4 linked regions of the Mus musculus genome follow. The protein of the gene in region 4 purifies or fractionates together with the protein of the main gene of each other region. This does not show direct contact. Links are inferred from orthologs where the notes say so. Each region holds a gene or a part of one and is shown on either strand. Other genes may lie near its edges. The genes, in order: Rhoa, Rpa1, Ppp1cb and Ppp1r12a.

Region 1 (4,242 bases), on a different chromosome or scaffold from region 4:
TCTGTTTTTGTTTTTTATTCCCGAGACAGGGTTTCTCTGTGCAGCCCTCGTTGTCCTGGAACTCACTTTGTAGACCAGGCTGGCCTCGAACTCAGAAATCCGCCTGCTGGGATTAAAGGCGTGTGCCACCACACCCAGCTCTGAAGATCTGTTTTCACTCTTCTAGTAACTTACTTACACCCCTAATAGAGCAAGATGGACTTTTTAAAGGACTATGAAATCACTCCAACAAAACCACTCTCACACATGTACAGACCATGGTCTACTTGATACATGCAAATTCTCACCAATTCCATTTAAAACTGACTCAAAGGAGTCTTGAAAACATTCTAGCTGGACCTCATTACCTTATCTTTGCTAACAGTAAACTCTCAAAACCCGGTCCTTAAGAAAACCAACACACTCAAAGGCAAGGCCTAGCCAGAAAGGAACTACTTACAAAAACATGAAATTTGTTTCCCAAATATGCATAATCTGCATGGTAAAGAACCTGAAGTAACCTGGAAATTCTGATTTTAACTGACAGCACATGGAGAATAACAGAAAAAAAAATAGTTGTAGTCTAACTAGATGTATGACCTTCAAACATTTTAAGTCTCAGCAGGAATGGTGGCACACACCCAGTGATCCCAGCACTGTTCCGGAGGCAGCACTAGGAGCATGTGGAAATTAGAGACCAGCTTTATCTACAAATTAAGTTCCAGGTCTCAGGTCAGACCCAGTGTCTTTTTTTTTTTTTTTAAATTAAGTCTTAGGTCAGTGGTTCTTCTGGTATTATCACACCCACTGTTCTCTCTGCGGAGTAATAAGCCTTTCTCAAGAAAGAGAGAGAGAGACAGACAGACAGACACACACACACACACACACACACACACAGAAGGAAAGAGAAAAAAATTCCCTAAGCTCAGTTCCCACACCTACAAACGGAATTGGTTTGTAAATCCTAAAGTTTTTTTTTTCCTCCCCAGTCTAAAATACTACATCTATTGGGGGTACAATCAGTAGAGTGGATGTTCCTATTCTCCTGTTCAGTAGATTTTTGAGTAGAAGCTATGTAAGTTGAGCACTAGAGTTTGATCCCAAGTTGTAAGGCTGAAATGCAGCTCAGAGATACAGCACCTGTTCACTGTGTCCCAAGCCAACACCAAAGAGGAAAATAAAATAGGAAAAAAACAAGCTCCATATATTTTATGTCCCTAAGAAACGTCACTGCTCCGGAGAAATACTCCAAACAACATCTCAGAGTCTTCAATATTAAGACCTGATCTTGTTTTCTTAGTTTAATAATACGTGAGTCAAATGCTCAAACTAGCCAATGAAAGGTGAAAAAAACATTCCACATGGTACATACACATTTGGGCACGTGACACTAAGTGGCTAAAAATTCTCACCACATACCGCATCCTAAAATATAAGTTTTCCCCTTTCAGACTGGCATGGGGGATGTACATTATACGTGTACTACATATTATACATATATAATGTTATATATAACATGCAAAAAGCACTTATTTCAAAATATACCAGAAGACAAAACCAAATAAATAACTAATAGGTCAAAATTTAGTGATGACTATTAGAAAATACAAGTAGAACCAATTCTGGGGCAAAAAAGAAAAAAAATGGTGTCAAATTTTCCACTATCAGCTACTAAACATGAACTTTTTTTTTTTTAAATCAACTTGCCTGCAAAAAATGCAATTTTACGAAACCGACCTGAAAAGGGGAACCCATCAGTGATTCTTAATTGAAGTAATAACTTTAAGCAGAAATGCATCTATTTTGATGCAACCTCGCCAAATTATTATGTGTTTTTTCGACTGGAAAATACCTTCCCCCATAGAGTCATAACCGCTAAGATTTCAAAACAATCTTTTACTTACACAATCTCCAATAATACGGCACTCAAAACAGAAAATCCACCCAAACCCTCACTGTCTTCACCCGGTATAGAACGGGATTAATAATCCACGTTCAATGCAAAAGGCAAAATGGAGTTGTAAAAGAGTTTCTTGCCTAGTCCAACTCCCGACAGCCACACGCGCTTCGCAGTGGCAGGCTACCCCAGCGCGGTCGCGGACCGGCCGGGAGCCCCCGCCCAGCCCGGCGCAACCCTGAGAGGAAGCGACGAGGAGGGCGGGCGGCTAGGGCTCCACCAGGCCCGGCCGGGCGGGGGAAGGGGGACTGGAGGCGGCGGGGCGCGCTTCCGGGGACTGCGCGGGCGGGGCCGCCGCCTCGGGCGCGGGGCCCCAGGTCAGGGGCCGGGGCGAGGGGCTGCGGGCCGAGAGCAGCAGGTGGGGCGCGACCGCGGGCAGGCGACGGGCCGGAGGCCGGAAAAGTGCTTGCCGATCAGCCGACCAGCCGGGCCCGGAGCCGAGGCGGCTGGAGGGAAATGCTCCTGCTCACCTCAAGGCGAGGACTCCGAGTCCGGCCTCTTCGCGCTGAGGACGCTTGTCCGCGAGTCCGCGAGCTCCGAGCCAAGGACGGGCAGCTCCGTGGGAGACGGCGGGCTATGGAGAGAACCGACGGAGGACCGCGGGCGGCGGGCGGGGAGCGCGAGCGAACGAGGGCGGGCGGTGGCGGGAGGGCGGGGAGCGACGTGCGCGGCCCCGAGCGCCCTGCGGGCTCGAGCTGGCGCCAGTCGCGGCCCCGCGCACGCGCGCACACTCTCAGTTCAGCCACGATTGCTCAAGAACGCATCCACGCCCTGAGAGCTAGACGCTTAACCAATCATGGCAGACGCGTGGAGCATGACGGGAACACCGGGGCTATAAAAGAGCGAGTTGCTATTTTATCCTCACCGAATCACTCATCCTTTAAGCAAGCAGGGTGGGGCTGGGTGCGCCTGCGCGGTTTTAAAAACCCCTCCCCAAACTGCCAACACTTCGCGCAAGCGAAGTAGATCTTCCTTGCCTTGTATTACGCGTGCGCACTGACAGGCCTAACCCCGGAAGACCATACGCTTGCGCAGTAAGAACTACGGTGACAGTACTCCCGGTGGGGCGCTGGCCAGTCATGGCGGAGCCTTGGGCCGGGCAGTTTCTGCAAGCTTTGCCCGCCACGGTGCTCGGAGCGCTGGGCACCCTGGGCAGCGACTTTCTGCGGGAGTGGGAGACACAAGACATGCGAGTGACTCTCTTCAAGCTGCTCCTGCTGTGGTTGGTGTTAAGTCTCCTGGGCATCCAGCTGGCCTGGGGGTTCTACGGGAACACAGTGACCGGGTTGTATCACCGTCCAGGTGAGGCTCCCTACGAACCTCCTTGGCCCGGCTGTCCCTACCACCACCATACTGTACCATTGGGTTCTCCTGTGTCCACATAGACTACCACTGGTCCTCCAGGAGCCTCACTGTACCCAGACTTACAACCCCGTACCATTTTACACCACAAGCCCCTCATGCCCATCATCACGTTGTTAACTGTTTCTCAAAACCCTTCCTGGACAATACCACTAGTCCCTAGTATCCCAGCCTCAATCTCTATTAAACTATACCAGTGGCCCCTGACCTGACCTGGGCTATTGCCTGCTCAGATCCCCACCCTCAGCCTCCTGCAGCTATGGGTGTGTTCCTGCCTCCAGGTCTGGGTGGCCAGAATGGATCCACACCTGATGGCTCCACACATTTCTCTTCATGGTGAGTAAATCTCTGTCTATCCCAACCCCATGCTTGACAGGCAGAGAACTCTCAGCATGTGAGTGCACCAGCTTAGTGGCTGTGCAAGAATCCTTCAAGGCTAATGGTAGAGCTCAGGATTCCAGTTGGGGGTTCCCAGTGGCTTTAGAGCCTCTCATCAGCATGTTCAGTGGGGATGGATGGTGGTGTTACCTTAATTTCAGAAAGGTGATGTGCCAGGTCTATTGAAAACAAATCCCTTGGTTGGGAAGTCTTTCTTTAGGAAGGCAAGAACATCTATTCTAGGCAAGTACTGTACCACTGGAGCTATAACCCCCAGCCTAACAGTCTCTATTCTTAGCATACGACCTCATCAAGTCAACCTCCTAATCTCTAAAAACAACAGCTTACTTATCAGGACATTTCATTCAGCTAATCTCTGAGCTTCTACCACACGGCAGAGGTCACAGTACACCAGAAAACAAGGACAACTCAGACTCTGCCAGGCAGTGGTGGCGCACACCTTTAATCTGAGCACTTGGGAGGCAGAGGCAGGTGGATTTCTGAGTTCGAGGCTAGCCTGGTCTACAGAGTGTGTTCCAGGACAGCCAGGGCTTCACAGAGAAACC
Region 2 (4,893 bases), on a different chromosome or scaffold from region 4:
TCAAGCAAAGCCTGTCTGTTCTCAGCAAGGTGAGCCACCCACCAAAGATGCCAACAGCTAAGGGCCAGGGATGTAGTGCAGGGTGCTGTGATATCAACAGCTGGGAGACAGAAACAGGAGGATCAGGACTTCAAGGTAGTTTGGGCTATAAAATATAAGCTTGAAGCTACCCACTTGAAGACTGTCCCCAACAAAACAAACAAGCTGGGTATGGTGGTCGATGCTTGTATTTCTAGTGTATGAGACGAAGGAAGAAAGCTCAAGCCCGAGACCTGCTTGGGTTACATAGGGAAGATGGTGCCTCAAAAACAGGACAGCCGAGGAGCAGACAGACAGGGCAGACAGGGTGCATCGATCTAAATCCACATACCTGGATTTAAAGTAATATCTGGGAGACTGGTCTGTGAGGGCCGTTCCAGAGATTTAATAAAGACCCACCCTGACTGAGTATGGGCAACACCCATGGGTGGCCCAGGGGTCCAGACTGAATAAAGGGAAAATGGGAGGAAGTTCAGCTGGTAGTGTTTCCAAGTATTAGGACCACAGCCTGGCCCCTGGCATGTGCTGGCCAGCTAGTCTAGCTCCAGTATCAAGCTTCAGGCCAGCGGCAGGGCACTGGACAGTTCCCACACACGACACACACACACACAGAGCACTAGCATTCACCTCCTGGTCTCTTCTTGACAACAGATAAAATGTAACTGGCTGCCACAGTGAGAGTCCCCTACCTTCCTCACCGTTAAGGATGGTACAAACTGTGAGCCAGCAGCAGCCATTTCTCCAGTAACTTGCTTTCCACAGATACTGTTATAGCACTAAGAAAAGCAACTGAAACATGGGGTGCTGTGACCCCTTGGCACCACAAAGCCATGGCAAGCTGAAGTGCACACATCACAGGCCAGGCCTGAAGATGCTGGGGGACTGCAATGCTGCCTGGATTCTGGCAGAGATGTGCAGCAGATGCCAAGAGGTGGGCTGCAGCAACCAGAGATAATTAATATGATTAGGAACACACTGAGCAGGCATGCTCTTGCCGAATGAAAAGCCTCGCAGTGTAATGACTGTTTTCTTCCTCGATCACGGTCTCCACGTTTCAGAGTTGGCTTGGTGTTAGGCTGCCGCGTAAACATCAATCCAACCCCGAGGGGCCAGATCATCGGTGTTCCTGGGCTCAATCGCCTTTCCTTTTGTGTTTTCATTCATTTAAAGATGCATTCCAGGGTTGCAAACATTAGTGAGAATCATCTCCAGGCCTCAGTCTAATCTCTGAGTCTGTAATGAGTTAACATCTTTCCCTAGTGAATATTTATTATGAAGGCTAATTAATTGCTTTCCAGTTACAAGAATCCTTTACAGTCAAAGAAAGTAGGATCCACAAAGATATACTGTTTATTCAAACAAAGCAAAGGAAACAAAGCTTCTTTCTTAAATTCTATTTAACATAGCTTTAATAAAGGTACACAGGTCCGCCTGGCAACCGAACGGTAACTGATGCAAACTGAAGCCATGCTCTGTAGCAGCCTGGATGTCCCAGTGCCACCTCTGTCTGCAGGCTTTGTCGGATTTACTAAGATTCTGTTATCTTCAAACAGGGATTGTGTCTCAAGTAACTGACCCCACTATGTGGATAATGAAGTAAATTATGCAATTTGGGGGTTTGCTTTTCCCCAAGGGGACAGCAAGCCAGTGCTTATCAGCCGTCCTCAGAGGAGACAATTCTGATTAATATCAGAGTCATCTGACTCAGTCTATTAAACCTATCAAACCCTGAAGGAAGGATATTCAGATATTAACGATAGGCCTTTGATTAATAATTCTACCTTGTTGCCATTCTAAGCATTAACAACCATGCAGTAACTCTGCAAAACAGACCCTTTGATTCCAGGCAGACGCACCCTCTGAACACCTGGGTTCTCCCCTACTCTTCTCCCCCCAGGAGGAACTCAAGACAAAAAGGTGCCACCACTGGAAAAGCACACTCCAGGTTACATAATTTGCCTCATTATCCAGAGTGGGGTTAATGACTTGTGACATAATTTCTGTTTGAAGATAACAAAATTTCATGAAATCCGACAAAGCCGGAAGGCAGGAGGAGGGGACTGCTGCCACACTACCGGTGGCTGAGAACTGGAGCGGAAGGTTCACACACAGCCCTCTGAGCTCACTGTCTTTGCTTATCAGTGAGTCCCAAGAGGGGCCCAGATGGGTTGCCAGCCTCCCCTAGAGGATCTTCATTGTGGAGCTGTCCCATGGGGCGGGAAGGAAGCCATTCTATTTCTGTTCTTCTCTCTTCCGTTCTGGCCACCAGTGGTACTTGCTCCCATCACATGTTCTTCCTGATGTTCGCGATCAGCCGTCTGCCATAGTCTCTGAAGTCCACGGGCTTCACGTCCATCACAGTGGCCTTAATTCGAGATTCATCCTTTAGAAAAGAGAGAAGCTGTTTGTGAGTGGCAGAGCCTGGCGTGCAGCGGAAGAGAGAACTTTCTTTGCTTCAGTGGCTTCAATGAGTCCAGCAGGAAGAAGGAAAGTTTACAAGTCTCAGAGAGAAAGTGCTGTGACTTCCTGGAGTTGGGCCAGATCCTCTTCCACAGACCCTTTCCCCATCCTAGGTGCCCTGTGCTCAGACCTAGCATCCTCCCGGAGAAGCCTCTGTCTTTCTATGGGTGCAGTGGGGGCCCAGAGCAGACAGGTAACTCACCCTAAAGCATCACTTTCATCTAGAGGAGCTCTGTGGTAGTAGGGACTGAGGCTTCTGCTCCAGCTCTGGGCAAGGTTACTTCTCTGCTCTTCACCATTCCTGTCCATCCCAGGAAGACAGAAAATCCCTACACTCTCCCTTGATCTACCCGACTTTCTGACACCAGCCTACCTATGTTCATTTAATACAACAACTAAAATATCTATTCACAGGCACTAAGCTGGTGATAACGCAGAATGCACAAACTCTGCGGCTGCAGGGGAGACGGCAGAGTTCCTCCTCCACTTGTCTCCTTGAACTAAACAGTGTCTTTGAGGCAGAACAGGGTGACACCTAGGGACACACAAGTCTAGCTGGGGGCCTTCATGCTTCCATGTGCTTAGTAATTAATTACTACATGCACCGCTGTTTACAAGTATGGTTAGGAGCCCGACTGCCTGGGTTGGCCTCTCGCCTCTGCCACTCCATGGCTTTAGGTTCAGAGTCATTCTCTGCATGCCTCTGCCTGTCTCTCCGTTGGTAAAGCTTGCAACAACAGCTCCAACACAGAAAGTGCTGTGAGGGTCGACAGTGGATAGATGGCTAGATAGATGGGGCAGGACGGACTGTCCAGTAAGCAGGGTTCATCATGGCTATGCAGCTCTGGACATCAGGATTAGTTTAAACACTTGTCAGGTGGGGCACTTTTACCAGCACGTGCTATTTGTTTAATATTCTGAGTTTTAGAACCTAAACTGTGGGAAACAAGAGTCCACACATAACATTTTCGGAAAGTACACAGAAAACAAAGGTCTCTGAAGGCTGTAACAGAGAAGGCTGTAGACGATCTCCTCCCTAAGTCGGCTTCCACACAAGAGCTGGCAGTGCGAACACCCGCCGCAACTCTCACCCCGTGGGTAAGTCCCGGAAACTGAGCTGAAATGCCGCAGTGTACAACAAACAGCAACTTCCCATCACAGCCCTCGGCCCCAGGAACCTTACTTACATTGTAGGTCTCCAGCTTGACCCTGATTCTGAACGTAAATGACCGGAAGTTGGCATTCTGGAAAACCTCTTCAAACGCCTGCTCGTTCTGCAAAAAACAAGACATGGGAACTACTGGAAAACACCCATTAGACTGCTGAAGAGACTGAGAAATTGTCATCTTGAAGGGTTGAAATCACTGAGGAATGGCTAATGACAAAACTGCTTAAGGAGAATTTTATTAAAAAACAAAACTCCTTCTGGAGGAGTACTGTGCTCCCTTCAGCATTAACTACTGTGCCAGGGAACCCACTGCCAGCAGACACCCAACTTCAAGGATAATCAAGCTTGCTACGTAACATGGCTGCTTACGCAGACACCACACACACTTCCTGTATGCTGGGCATCACCTCTAGCTTACTTATAATATCAAACATAAGTACCATGTGAGCGCTACAGGGCCTGGCCAATGAACAGCGATGGGAAAAATAACCTGCACATGGTCAGTAATGGGCAATCCACTCCCCAGACACTTCTAACCTCAGCTGCAGACTTGTGGGTACTGAGAACGGACGTGACTAAGTCAATTCACAGAAGCAGAGCCCTGTGCCTGTGCCAGGGAACGGAGGACGCTGCTCAATGGGCAGAGCTTCAGGGCGGGAAGAGATGGAAAGTGGAGCTAGGGCCCGATGACGTGAATATGGCTAATGCCATATTGTGTGTGTGTGTGTGTGTGTGTGTGTATGTATGTGTATGTGGTGTGTATGTATGTGTGTGCATGTGTGTGTGTGTGTATGTATGTATGTGTGTGTATCCAAAATGGTTATAAAAATCCCATACAATGGCTATGCTTATGTGTCTTTTACCACAAGTAAAAAATTTTAAGTAATCTTAGGAACACATTTCTAAAATTTGGAATACTTGTTGGGGAAGCTATCTGAGCCCCAGCATGAATCAGGAAATGGGTAGGAGAGGCAGGAGAGATGGCTTAGTGGTTAACACACACATGGTGGCCCTTTCCTGGCACCAACTAGGTCACTCACAACCAGGATCTGACAGCCTCTCCTGGCCTCCTCAGGCACCAGGCAGGAAAGCGGCCCCACATCCCTGCAGGTAAAACATTTGTACTGAAACTAAATAAAAACGGAGCAGAAGCTGGGCCTGGAAGTCCTTTACCTCCAGCACCGGGAAGCAGGTGGATATTTTGTGAGTTCCGGGTCTACATAGTA
Region 3 (5,237 bases), on a different chromosome or scaffold from region 4:
CCAGCCTGGTCTACATAGTGAGTTCCAAGCCAGCAAGGGGCTGCATAGTGAGACACTGTTTCAAAATAAAAAATAACAAAAATGATGCCCCTCCCTGGAAAAAAAATCCCAACATTTTCTGCTATGACCCATTTCTTTTTCAATCTTCCAAGACACTGGAAAACCTGACGGGGAATGGAAACTCTGACCTTCTCTCTTGTTTCCTTGAACCCATAATTCTGTCGGACTGAATTGTGTCCTGTTTACAGCAACTCTCTTTTCAATGATCACTTTTTCTCTTTGTAGTCCCATTGGACGGGGGTACCCTTTTTAGCATGTCTGCATATAATTGAACTTTAGTTGTGGATAAGACTTAAAAGTTCTTTTCCTTGGGACTTATAGGGCCCATAAAAACATAAGACATCTACATAAGCATTCCCAAGTATTCTGAATTCTTAAAGTCATGGAAGAGATAGATTTGGAGAAATGGCATCAAAATATCTACCTCCATTTGTAACTGGTGTTTCAGTTTCTTAGTTTCTAGAAAGCAGAGAGTCAACTTTTTAGCCCATCTTTTTCAAGTTAACAGAATCTTCCAGCGTGCATTTTGGAAATAAAGCCCCTGGTTTAATCTGATCTTTCCCATGCTTGGTTTCCTTTTTTTTTTTTCTATTTCCTTCTTTACTTTTAAAAAGTATTTTTATGCATATGAGTGCTTTGTCTGCATGTATGTTTGTGTACTATGTATAGTGCCCATAGAGAGGACCGAGAGGGCATCAGATGCCCTGGAACTGTTAGGTCTCAAACCTGGGACAAATGACAGAGGTACTTATTTAACATGTGAAAGTGGTTACTGGACCCAGGTTCTCTCAGCCATTCCTACCTGTTACAGGGTATGTATGGCATGCACACTCCCTGCCCTAATCTTCTCTTTCCCTCCCCCTCAGAGTCATGCTCGCTCTGAATATTCCCAGATGTCTTTCCTCCCAACTATGTTCTCCCATTTATCTCTAATAAACCTTTTTCTTCATCATACCTAGAAGCAATCATGTCCTTTTCTTTTTATTTTATTTTTATCAGAATCAAAATTACAGATAGATAGTTGTAACCATGTGGGTGCTGGGAATTGAACCCATGTCCTCTGCAAAAAAACAGGCAGTGCTCCTAACCTCTGAATCATCTCTTCAGTCCCTGTATTTGTTTTTAATTTATCCCAACTGCAAGCATTTATTATGTAGCTGAAGATGACCTTGGGCTTCTGGATCTTCTGCCTCCATCTCCCAGTTGTAGGGATTACAGGTCTCTTATGCCCGGTAAATGTGATTTTTATCCTCTAGGAACCGAGTGCAGTAGAGAAATGTTTAAAAATCACAAGATAAGAGAATTAAGCAATATAAGAAATCAATGAACAGAAAAGAACTATAGAAAAGTGGTATCCTGAGTGTATGGAGATGTCGGGAGCGTGTAAAATCTTATTGCTGTTGACTGAGGCCCACTTTGAATCCTGTTTCTTCTAGGGTCACCTGGCGAATCAGCGACTCTGGTGATGTGATACAGAGCCCTTGATCTGCAATGTCAATCTTTTTCAACAGAGAAGTCTCTTATCTCCAGCACACCTGGGTTTCCAACATAGGCAACTGAAACCCACGTTTCCGGGTTAGCGGAAATACGAGCAATTGTTTTGAAAACCAGTGACTGAAACCTAGAAAAGAAAAGCAAGGCGGGAAGAACGCAATAGTTAACTCTGCGGAACCACCAGGCCCTGGGGAGCAGGGAAGGAAGGTCATTCCAGCCTACGCCGGCTCTGCGTTCACAAGCAAGGCAGGCTCCGCCCTGCGCCTGCGTAGTGGCGACTGTTCGTTGCAGTGGAACGCCTGAGAGAGGGAATCGCTCCTGCGCGTTAGCAACCGCGGAGGGGAGGGCGGGGAGCTGGAGAGGCAGGAAGGGGACGTGGCGCGCGTGCGCGCAGTTCGGCGCGGCTAGGCGGCCCGCAAGGGCGGAGGGGAGGGAGTGACGCTGAGGGCGGGGCTGTCCGTGGCGCTGCCGAGCTTTGCGGAGCTGGGCGGTGCCGAGGAGGAGGTGGAGGAGGCGGTGGCGGCTGGGGTCTGACGCGGCCCGGTTCCTGACGCGGCCCGGTTCCTGGGGGCCTGCTTGTTTATTTATTTATTTCCAGTGGGCGCCGCCAGCGTGTGCGCGCGCTGTCGCTGCTCGGCGGGGAGGGGGTGGGGGGAGGGCCCGCGCCCGGGGGGAGTTGGAGCCGGGGTCGAAACGCCGCGTGACTCGTAGGTGAGAACGCCGAGCCGCCGCCGCCGCCGAGAAGCCCTGTTAACGCTTTAGGGAGGAGAGTCTGGTGCCGACAAGATGGCGGACGGGGAGCTGAACGTGGACAGCCTCATCACCCGCCTGCTGGAGGGTGAGTGCGGCGCCGGCTCGTCTCCCCACCCGGCCGCGGGGCCCTTCCCGCTCGAGCTGAGGTCGGAGAGGAGGGCAGGCGGGCGGGCGGGCGGGCGGGCCGGGTGCCCCAGGAGGCCAGGAGCGCGGGCTGGCGGGCGGGCAGGCGGGGAGGCCGGGCCGAGCGAGGCCGGAGGCCCATCGGCTGGTACAGTCTTCCCGAGAGGCGGCCGGGCTCCGCTTGGCCGCTGTGCTGGCCTCTGCAGACCGTTCCGAAGAAGGGGCGAGGATGCCTGCCGCTGGGCTTTGTGTGTCCGTGGAATGTGTATTTCTCGGTTCTCTTTGTGCGTTGCCCTTGGCAGCCTCCGATGGTCGTTCCGGTAGTGAATTTTACATAAAACCTTCCCAGTAAGGCTCTCGGATCGTTTGCATTTTACTGGATGCTCTAGAAAGAATTAGGGAGAGGATACGATGACTAGTTTACCATTTATTATCTGGAGTATAAAAAAACAGTAAAAATCCTGAATCAGGTTAAAGACGTCCGTTAGAAATACGAAACGCCCGGATACATGTGCTGAAGGGGTTGATTTGGGGGCTTTTTTTTTTTTTTAAACATGTTTGAGCCGAGTTTAATTTCTGCACAAACTTAGCAAATGTCTGTTGTGAATAATCTCTTGAGCTTAAAAGGTATTTTACAAGTGTTCTCAGCATTTGAAGTTCCGGGTTCTTATGCTTTTATCGATTAGTTTTGTGTTGGTGGGAACATAAGGAGAAAAGAGGAGATGGAGAGGCCAGTAGTTAAATGTATTGGTCCGTTGGGGGATACTGTTCGAAGTTAAAGGCGGGTCTTGGTCAAAAGAACCCTTTTACGCTATAAAATTTGCGTCGTCACTAATTGTGGAGTGTGTAAAAAAGAATTGCGTTTTTGAGTGGTTAAGAGTCCTTTTTGTCAGCCTCCTAATGAATGCGTGTGTTTACTACAGCGAAGCTGTTTGTGTTTGGAATTTTACCAAAGAGCGTGGAGAGGGGTGACTTTTCTTTAACTAGTTAAAGTACGAAGTATTTATTCTCTGTTTAAAACAACAACAACAACAAAACAACTCTGTTTATATGCTCCAGATGTAAAAGCTTTCCAGCAGCCTTAAGGCTGAGAAAAAGGCAGAACTTTTACCAGGAACTCTTTCTTATTTACCTTCTCCTTTAGTATCAAGTTATTCCTGGGAGGCCCCCTGGTGCTTGCTGTGTTTACTGCTTGGGATTTTGTGGTCTTTAATTGATAGAAACATCTTGCTGGGTCTGTGAGAAATTTGTTTAGTTAAAAAAAATTTATGCTTGTAGTACATGGCTGGCTCTATTAGGGAAATATAGTTATTTTAAATCTTTATATCTTGTTACTCTTCGGAGAAGGGGAATTTAAGCCCACCACTGTTTTCATATAATCTAAATTTTAAATTAAATTTGGATCAGATTTTATCGCAGTTTATTAATATTTTTAATTTTTCATAAATACCTTATAGCAGATGCATGTATTTTAAACCGATCTAGAAGCCTTTAAATCAAATGTACTTCTATACAGTTACAGATGCTTAAATACAACTAATAGAGTGGGAGTTGTAGAGAAAAAGGGGAAAGTAGCCTGAGCTATATCATTGTTAAATATTTGGTTCTATCATCAGTCACCAGCACCCACCAGTCCCCCCTTCTTGGGTAAGAATACGTTCTTTTTTTCTAATATAGCAAGTGTTTATTGACTGCACTGCCAGGCACCAGGAGTCAAAGATAAGGCTCACTCCTCACTCAAGCAGCTCAGTATAAACAAGTGGCTTCTCAGTGTGTGCTAGCCTTCCTGCTCTTCCTGCTTTGAATGTACAATTTATTAGTAGTTTTGTTACATTCTTGTTCCTTAATCCAGACGAAGACTGCTTTTGTTGTTACTCTAAAATATTACCAGTCCCTCCTTCCCTCCCCAAGCCTAAACCTGTTCAAATAAATTTTGAAGTCTTGGATTTTCTAGTGAGTAAATTCAATCTTGAAAAAAAAATTTTTTTTGAGACAGGGTTTCTCTGTACCTGGCTATCCTGGAACTTGCTCTGTAGACCAGGCTGCCTCAAACTCTGCCTCCCCAAATACTGGGAATTAGAGACATGCACCACCTCTGCCGGGCAGCCTACTTTAGTTTTCAGTATTACATGCTAATTTAACTCAAATTCAAGTGGTGCTATTCTGTAAAGTTGCCTCGCAGAACAGAATAACCTGGTTATATATTTTGTGCGTCCTAAATGAAAGTGAACATTAAAAGATACATAATTATAGTTAAAGATGTCTAGGTTATATATTTTGTGTGTCCTAAATGAAAGTGAACATTAAAAGATATGTAATTATAGTTAAAGACGTCTATCCATAGCAAGACTACAGTTAGTGGTCATTGTATTGAAAGTGTGAAGAGAACCTTCGAGAATGTGTGCTCTAAGGACCAGTATGATAAATATGACATCCTTGGTAGATAAAATGTGTGGATTCAGTGTGTTCAGCCATTTCACAGTGTATGCACTTAAAATATGTGTTCCTAAAAGATGCAGTGTTGTCTATCAATTAAAGATTGCTTTTGGCTGGGCAAAAAGTTGTGGCTTTAATCCCAGCACCCAGTAGGCTGAGGCAGGCAGATCTCTGAGCTCTAGACCAGCAAAACACAACAGGAAAAAAACCTTGCTTTTGTAAAAATGTTTTTTTGCATTAAGAGAAAAAAATTGATCAGAACCTAGTCTCATTTTAAAGTGTTTACTTTATGTTACAGTTTATTCATTTAAAAATATATTAAACTCTGATGGCCAGTTAAGTGCACTCACTTTCAGTAACTACTTTTTATG
Region 4 (5,284 bases):
GTGCTAAGTGGGATGTGAAGGACCAAAGCTTTTGACCTGTGAACCAGAGGCTATTCTACCCAACAAAAGGTGAGTGAATAAATATGTAAACAGACTAAAGAAAAATTAGACTGGTAAAAGACTTTCGATATTTTGTGATCTTTTGACAGAATTAAAATATTTAAGGACCAGTCACCAAGTCAGTCTTTTTATTGTCAGCTAAAGAAGACAAGTGCTGATTGTCACTGGAGAGACTCTGAAAAGCTTAAGATCCCATGAAGAGGAGCACAGGGGTTCCACTTCTCACATCTCACTAACTGGTGTGTCCCTAATTCGCTCAAAGTGAAGTCCTTACCTTCACAGTCATAATGGAAAACAAGTATGAGAAAAGGAGAGCAATACAGAAAACACAAACATTTCAATGCTGCCTTTGTTTGTTTTGTTTTCCTGAGACAGGGTTTCTCTGTATAGACCTGGCTACTGGAACTCACTCTGTAGATCTAGCTGGCCTCTGTCTCCTAAGTGTTGGGATTAAAGGCATGCGCCACCACTGCCCGGCTCAATGCTGCGTTTTAAAAATCAGTTACTTAACATAGATTGGTGTTTTGCCTGCATGTATGTTTTTGAGGGTATTGGATCCTCTGCAACTGGAGTTACAGGACAGTTGTGAGCTGCCATGTGGGTACTGGGAATTGAACTTAGGACCTCTCCAAGGACAGCCACTGCTCTTGACCACTAAGCAATCTCTCCAGCCCCACAATGCTTCATCTTTTAGGGACTTTGGCTTCTTTGATTTAAGGAACGTGCTCCACACCAACTGCAAATAAAAATGCTTTATACAAATGGCATAAACTTAGAAACATCTCCTGTCAACTCAAACAAAATATGCAGTCATAGAGACTATACCTACATTCACTAAACCACTGAATTCAGTTAATCAAGAAGATATCATTAAGTCTGGCTTCTTTAAATAAGTAAAAACTGTTAAACACAAGCCTTTAAAAGCCAATTTCTTGTCTTTTCAACTATCTAAACTAGTACTGCAACATTAAAAAAAAATGTTAGACATTGTCTTCTTCCTCTAAGCCAGTACAATTCTCCAAAGGGAATAAACTTCACACTTCTACTTAGTTTTAGAAAACATGCTGATATAAACCACTATCCAATTATTCTGACATATAGTTAAGTGTGTCTCAGAACCAATTTCTCATTTAAACTTGCCAAGGACATGTGAAAAAAGAAGATTATTTTTTTAATGTTATATGATAAAAATTTTTAATGCTGAAGGTGATTTCCTTCTCAAAACCATGTTTCCAGATCTAGATTTATAATGTGCCTTAAGCTGTAAGCAAATGAACTTTGCATTACATTAGAGAACCACCCTATATTTTCCTTTGGTGCCATTCTAAATTCCAGATCTGTCCTGCAGATTGTCAGGCACTTCAGCCCTTCCAGTCAGCTTTGTAAACAAAGGCTACGCCAAGCTTGATATGTGAATTTGATTAAATAAAACTTTAAATGGTCATCACTTATTAAAGCAGGAAACAATAAAAGGAAAATGCCTCCATACCATGTCTTTTTAAAAGGTATAAAGTTAACAGGCACAAAATAATAAAGTTTAGGTACAAAGTGCGGAGCCTTAGGTTTCAACCTCTGTTTTTAACCACACTATTATTCAAAATAGAGCTATGCTCTCCCACACAACCAAGAGGAGTCTGAGGGGAGCGGGAAAATTCTTTTTCACTGTAAATTTCCTAGTAATTCCAAGTTTCTTAATATGAAAATAGAAAGAATCTGTCGTGGCATCTATTACCAGCACTTTAAACTTGCTTTTCAAGCAGAACTCTAAGGGTTCTGTTGCTTTTGGCTTGTTAAAGGCAAAGCAACATTATCTCTGGATTGCCAATAGTTTCTCCTTATTTGGCTAACATTGAGAGATCCCAATCGGACTACTATAAAACTTTAACATGCACAAAGCATCCATTTTGAGAAAAGGTTGTGATTAGCTTTGGTTTTTTTTTTTTCTCTCCCCCTCCCCACCACCACCACCAAAAAATAAAAAAATAATAATAATAAAGTTTGGCAACTGTCTTTGAGGAGTACACAGTGTTTATTCCCATCTTCCCTAGCCCCGGTGTGCACTCCAGGAGCCAGGACTCAGGGATCTGTGACTGCGACCAACTTCGAGTACAGGAACCCATAGACTCCAGTTACGAGGTGGGCAAGCCCACTCGGGAAGACTTCCCTTATCAGATTCACTACCAATCCCCTCTCTTTCAGCCACTCCGGATTAGCTAATTACACCCCGTTTCCCCCTCCCCAGTGACCAAGAGTAATAAAGGAGAAAACAGGAAATCGTTCGCTCGGGGCACCCGGCTTTAAGGGTTCGGGCTTTAAGGGTTCGGGATCACTAATATCATCATCCTCATTTGTAATCAAGTCCTAAAAATGTACACCAACACCAATGCCCACCTCCAGGCCAGTGGGCTCCATCTGCCCCAAGAGTCCCTGTTAGTGGATTTTTTTTTTTCAACAACCCTCCCCGCCCCACGGTCTATCACTGACACCGGGCCTCGGCACAACCCATTACTCTCCGGCTCGGCTTGACCCAGACTACCAGACCCAGACACATGTCCACAAATGGCCCTGGAGGCCCCCAAGAGGACCACAGTCCATTCTGCCCCGCGCCCAGGAACATCGGCCGGGTCCCCCCCCAAACTGCACAGGCTGCGGGCGAGCGGCTCTGGAGGGGGGCCCGGAGCCCCGCGCCCCAGCCAGCCTCCCGCGACGGAGCCGCCCCCTCACCCGCAAGCAGGGAGTCTCCCGCCACCCCCCGGCCTCAGCCCCGGCCCCGGGCGCGAGCACCACAGCGGGCCCCGGGGTTCCGGGGTCCGGATGAGGGGACGCCGGGCACACAGACCTGGTGCAGGGCGGTGAGTCCGTCCACATTGGCGTAATTGATGTCGGCGCCGCGGTGCAGCAGCTTGAGGACCTCGTCCGTGTCGCCGCTGGAGCAGGCGGCGAGGAAGACGGCGCCATCGTCGAACTTCACCTTGGTCTTCTGGCGCTTCACCACGGGCGGCTCGAGGTCCGTCTCGGAGCCGATCCAGCGCTTCAGCTGCTCGTTCCGCTTCTGCTTCGCGTCCGCCATCTTCATCCCCTCTCCAGCCGCCGGCTCCTCTTATCGCGAGCTGGGGCGGGGGGGAAGGGGGCGGCGGCGGCGAGGGGACGCCGCCGGGGGGAGTATGCGACCGCGTCGGCGACAGAAAGAGAGAGAGAGAGAGAGAGAGGGGCCGGAGCGGAGCGGAGCCGCGAGCCGGGGAGGAGACGCTCGAGACTTCCAGTATCCCACAGAGCACTGGGGCGAGCCCGGCCGAGCGGGCCTCTCTTCCTACCACAGACGCCCTCCCGCCCCCGGCACGGCCGCCCGCCCGTCAGTCCGTCAGCCGCGGCCCGGCTGAGCGTAACTTCGCGAGATCGCGGCCGGGGAGGCGCCCTGCGGCCCAGTGCGCATGCGCGCTCCCGCCTCGGCCTGGGCCTCGGCTTCGGCCCGGCCCAGGAAGAGCTCGGGGGCCGAGCGCTGGCGGGGGCGCTACCGGAGGGAAGCGGGTGTGGCTCTGGCAGCCGGGGGCTGGGCCGCTCCTGGAAGGGAGGAGGCCGGGAAGGAAGGTTGTCTCGTCCGGCGGGACCGAGAGCTCTAGAGGCAGCCGGGTCGGGCGGCGAGGCGGGACCGGGCTGACCTGCCTGCCTCCTCCCGGGCTCGGCGGGCCGCGCGAGGCGTCTGCCCGGGGCGGAGGGTTTTCCTATTGGCTGCGTGATTTGAATGGAGAGGACACGGGTCGTGCATTAGGTGCTTGTGGGGGTTGCTCTTCCCGAGGAACTCGGGGGGAAACCCGGGCGATCCTGATGAGAGCGTTTTAAAAGTGGGGTCGGAGTCGTCTCCACGGCCCCGGTGGCATTGACCGAGGTGATCGCCTACTGGCAGGGGATGGTGACCTGCGGTTAATTGCAGTGGCTTCCTGCAAACACCCACTGCAGAAATGTCTTTCCTCTTAGGCTTGCTCAGTATTGTTGTTTTGTTTTTCCCCCGTCTTTAAGCCTGTTTTGATTTCTTCTTCCTCCATCGCTTTTCGGCCTGGGTGGCACTGCCCATGAGGGCTAGTTCAGCCTTGTTAACTGCTCCTGACCTTTTAAGGGATTTACGGTTTCAGCTCCATTGCTTTCTATGGAGTAAAGACCCGGCTGCGTCTAGAATTCAAAAGGAATGTGGACGAAGGCAGTTACTTCGACTGATATTTATCCAGTACATGTCTAAAAAGTCGTGACTTCCTAGGCTCTGAAAATACAGTAAATACGATTTATTTGAGCCCATTTCTTAAATTCTTGTGTTGCAAAGAACATCATAAGGAGATTTTAGCTTTGCCTTTTCTAAACACTCTCCCGTCCCATACACTTTAGATCTATAATGTCATAAAACCCTACCACTGGTCCTTTTTGGGAATCCTGTAGACTGTGAACCCCCCCACCCCCAAAGAAAATAGTTGCCTTGCCCCTAACCGCCTCCCAGTGCTGGGAATACAGCAGTGAAAAGTTATTTTCTTACTCTTCAGCATGTTGCCTTTCTGGTAGATTAGAATAACTGAGTAAAATATGCTGGGGGAACCACCTTATAGAACTGAATATTCTGAATTTCAATGTTAGGAATAGTAATAAAATCCAAGCTAAGATAAAACTACTTCCTTGAAACACAAAACGAGTGTGCCACACATGAAATACATCTATATCTTCATAAAATGTATTGAGGATCATACCACTAGACCTCTGCACAACAATGAGAACAGTGGTGTTTGGTACTGAATCATCATCATCATCTTCTTCTTCTTCTTCTTCTTCTTCTTCTTCTTCTTCTTCTTCTTCTTCTTCTTCTTCTTCCTCCTCCTCCTCCTCCTCCTCCTCCTCCTCCTCCTCCTCCTCCTCCTCCTCCTCCTCCTCCTCCTCCTCCTCCTCTTCTTCTTCTCTCTCTCTCTCTCTCTCTCTCTCTCTCTCTCTCTCTCTCTCTTTCTCTCTCTCTCTCTCTTTCTTTTCCAGATACGGTTTCTCCATGTAGATCTGGCTGTCCTGGAACCCACTTTGTAGACTTCAAACTCAGAAATTGGCCTGCCTCTGCCTCCCAAGTGCTGGGATTAAATCTGTGTGCTACCACCATGGAGCAGGGTCATGAATTTTCTTAACGTGAAACTATAAAATCCCTATGCACAGAATATGGCCCTCCCAATCAAAGAAAAGAATTGAGTATACTCTTACC

What was found.
Region 1: the proteins of Ppp1r12a (region 4) and Rhoa fractionate together in Homo sapiens (co-fractionation; 3 studies listed by BioGRID and IntAct, with this or other methods). This does not show direct contact. The link is inferred for Mus musculus from reciprocal best matches to the Homo sapiens genes PPP1R12A and RHOA.
Region 2: the proteins of Ppp1r12a (region 4) and Rpa1 fractionate together in Homo sapiens (co-fractionation; 3 studies listed by BioGRID, with this or other methods). This does not show direct contact. The link is inferred for Mus musculus from reciprocal best matches to the Homo sapiens genes PPP1R12A and RPA1.
Region 3: the proteins of Ppp1r12a (region 4) and Ppp1cb purify together in Homo sapiens (affinity purification with mass spectrometry; 6 studies listed by BioGRID and IntAct, with this or other methods). This does not show direct contact. The link is inferred for Mus musculus from reciprocal best matches to the Homo sapiens genes PPP1R12A and PPP1CB.

The regions. Positions count from the first base shown.
Region 1 is NC_000075.6:108,304,718-108,308,959, reverse strand, and holds the start of Rhoa (transforming protein RhoA precursor), read right to left. Parts: upstream 2,801-4,242; 5' UTR 2,407-2,800; intron 2,164-2,406; exon of another isoform or gene 1,884-2,163; intron 1-1,883. Other genes in the region: Tcta (T-cell leukemia translocation-altered gene protein homolog), read left to right, coding at 3,016-3,238, 3,532-3,634. UniProt on the Homo sapiens protein: Small GTPase which cycles between an active GTP-bound and an inactive GDP-bound state.
Region 2 is NC_000077.6:75,298,982-75,303,874, forward strand, and holds the end of Rpa1 (replication protein A 70 kDa DNA-binding subunit), read right to left. Parts: intron 3,774-4,893; coding exon 3,687-3,773; intron 2,423-3,686; coding exon 2,324-2,422; 3' UTR 1,278-2,323; downstream 1-1,277. UniProt on the Homo sapiens protein: As part of the heterotrimeric replication protein A complex (RPA/RP-A), binds and stabilizes single-stranded DNA intermediates that form during DNA replication or upon DNA stress.
Region 3 is NC_000071.6:32,457,016-32,462,252, forward strand, and holds the start of Ppp1cb (serine/threonine-protein phosphatase PP1-beta catalytic subunit), read left to right. Parts: upstream 1-1,954; 5' UTR 1,955-2,340; coding exon 2,341-2,392; intron 2,393-5,237. UniProt on the Homo sapiens protein: Protein phosphatase that associates with over 200 regulatory proteins to form highly specific holoenzymes which dephosphorylate hundreds of biological targets.
Region 4 is NC_000076.6:108,160,252-108,165,535, reverse strand, and holds the start of Ppp1r12a (protein phosphatase 1 regulatory subunit 12A), read right to left. Parts: upstream 3,439-5,284; 5' UTR 3,137-3,438; coding exon 2,900-3,136; intron 1-2,899. UniProt on the Homo sapiens protein: Key regulator of protein phosphatase 1C (PPP1C). Mediates binding to myosin. As part of the PPP1C complex, involved in dephosphorylation of PLK1. Capable of inhibiting HIF1AN-dependent suppression of HIF1A activity.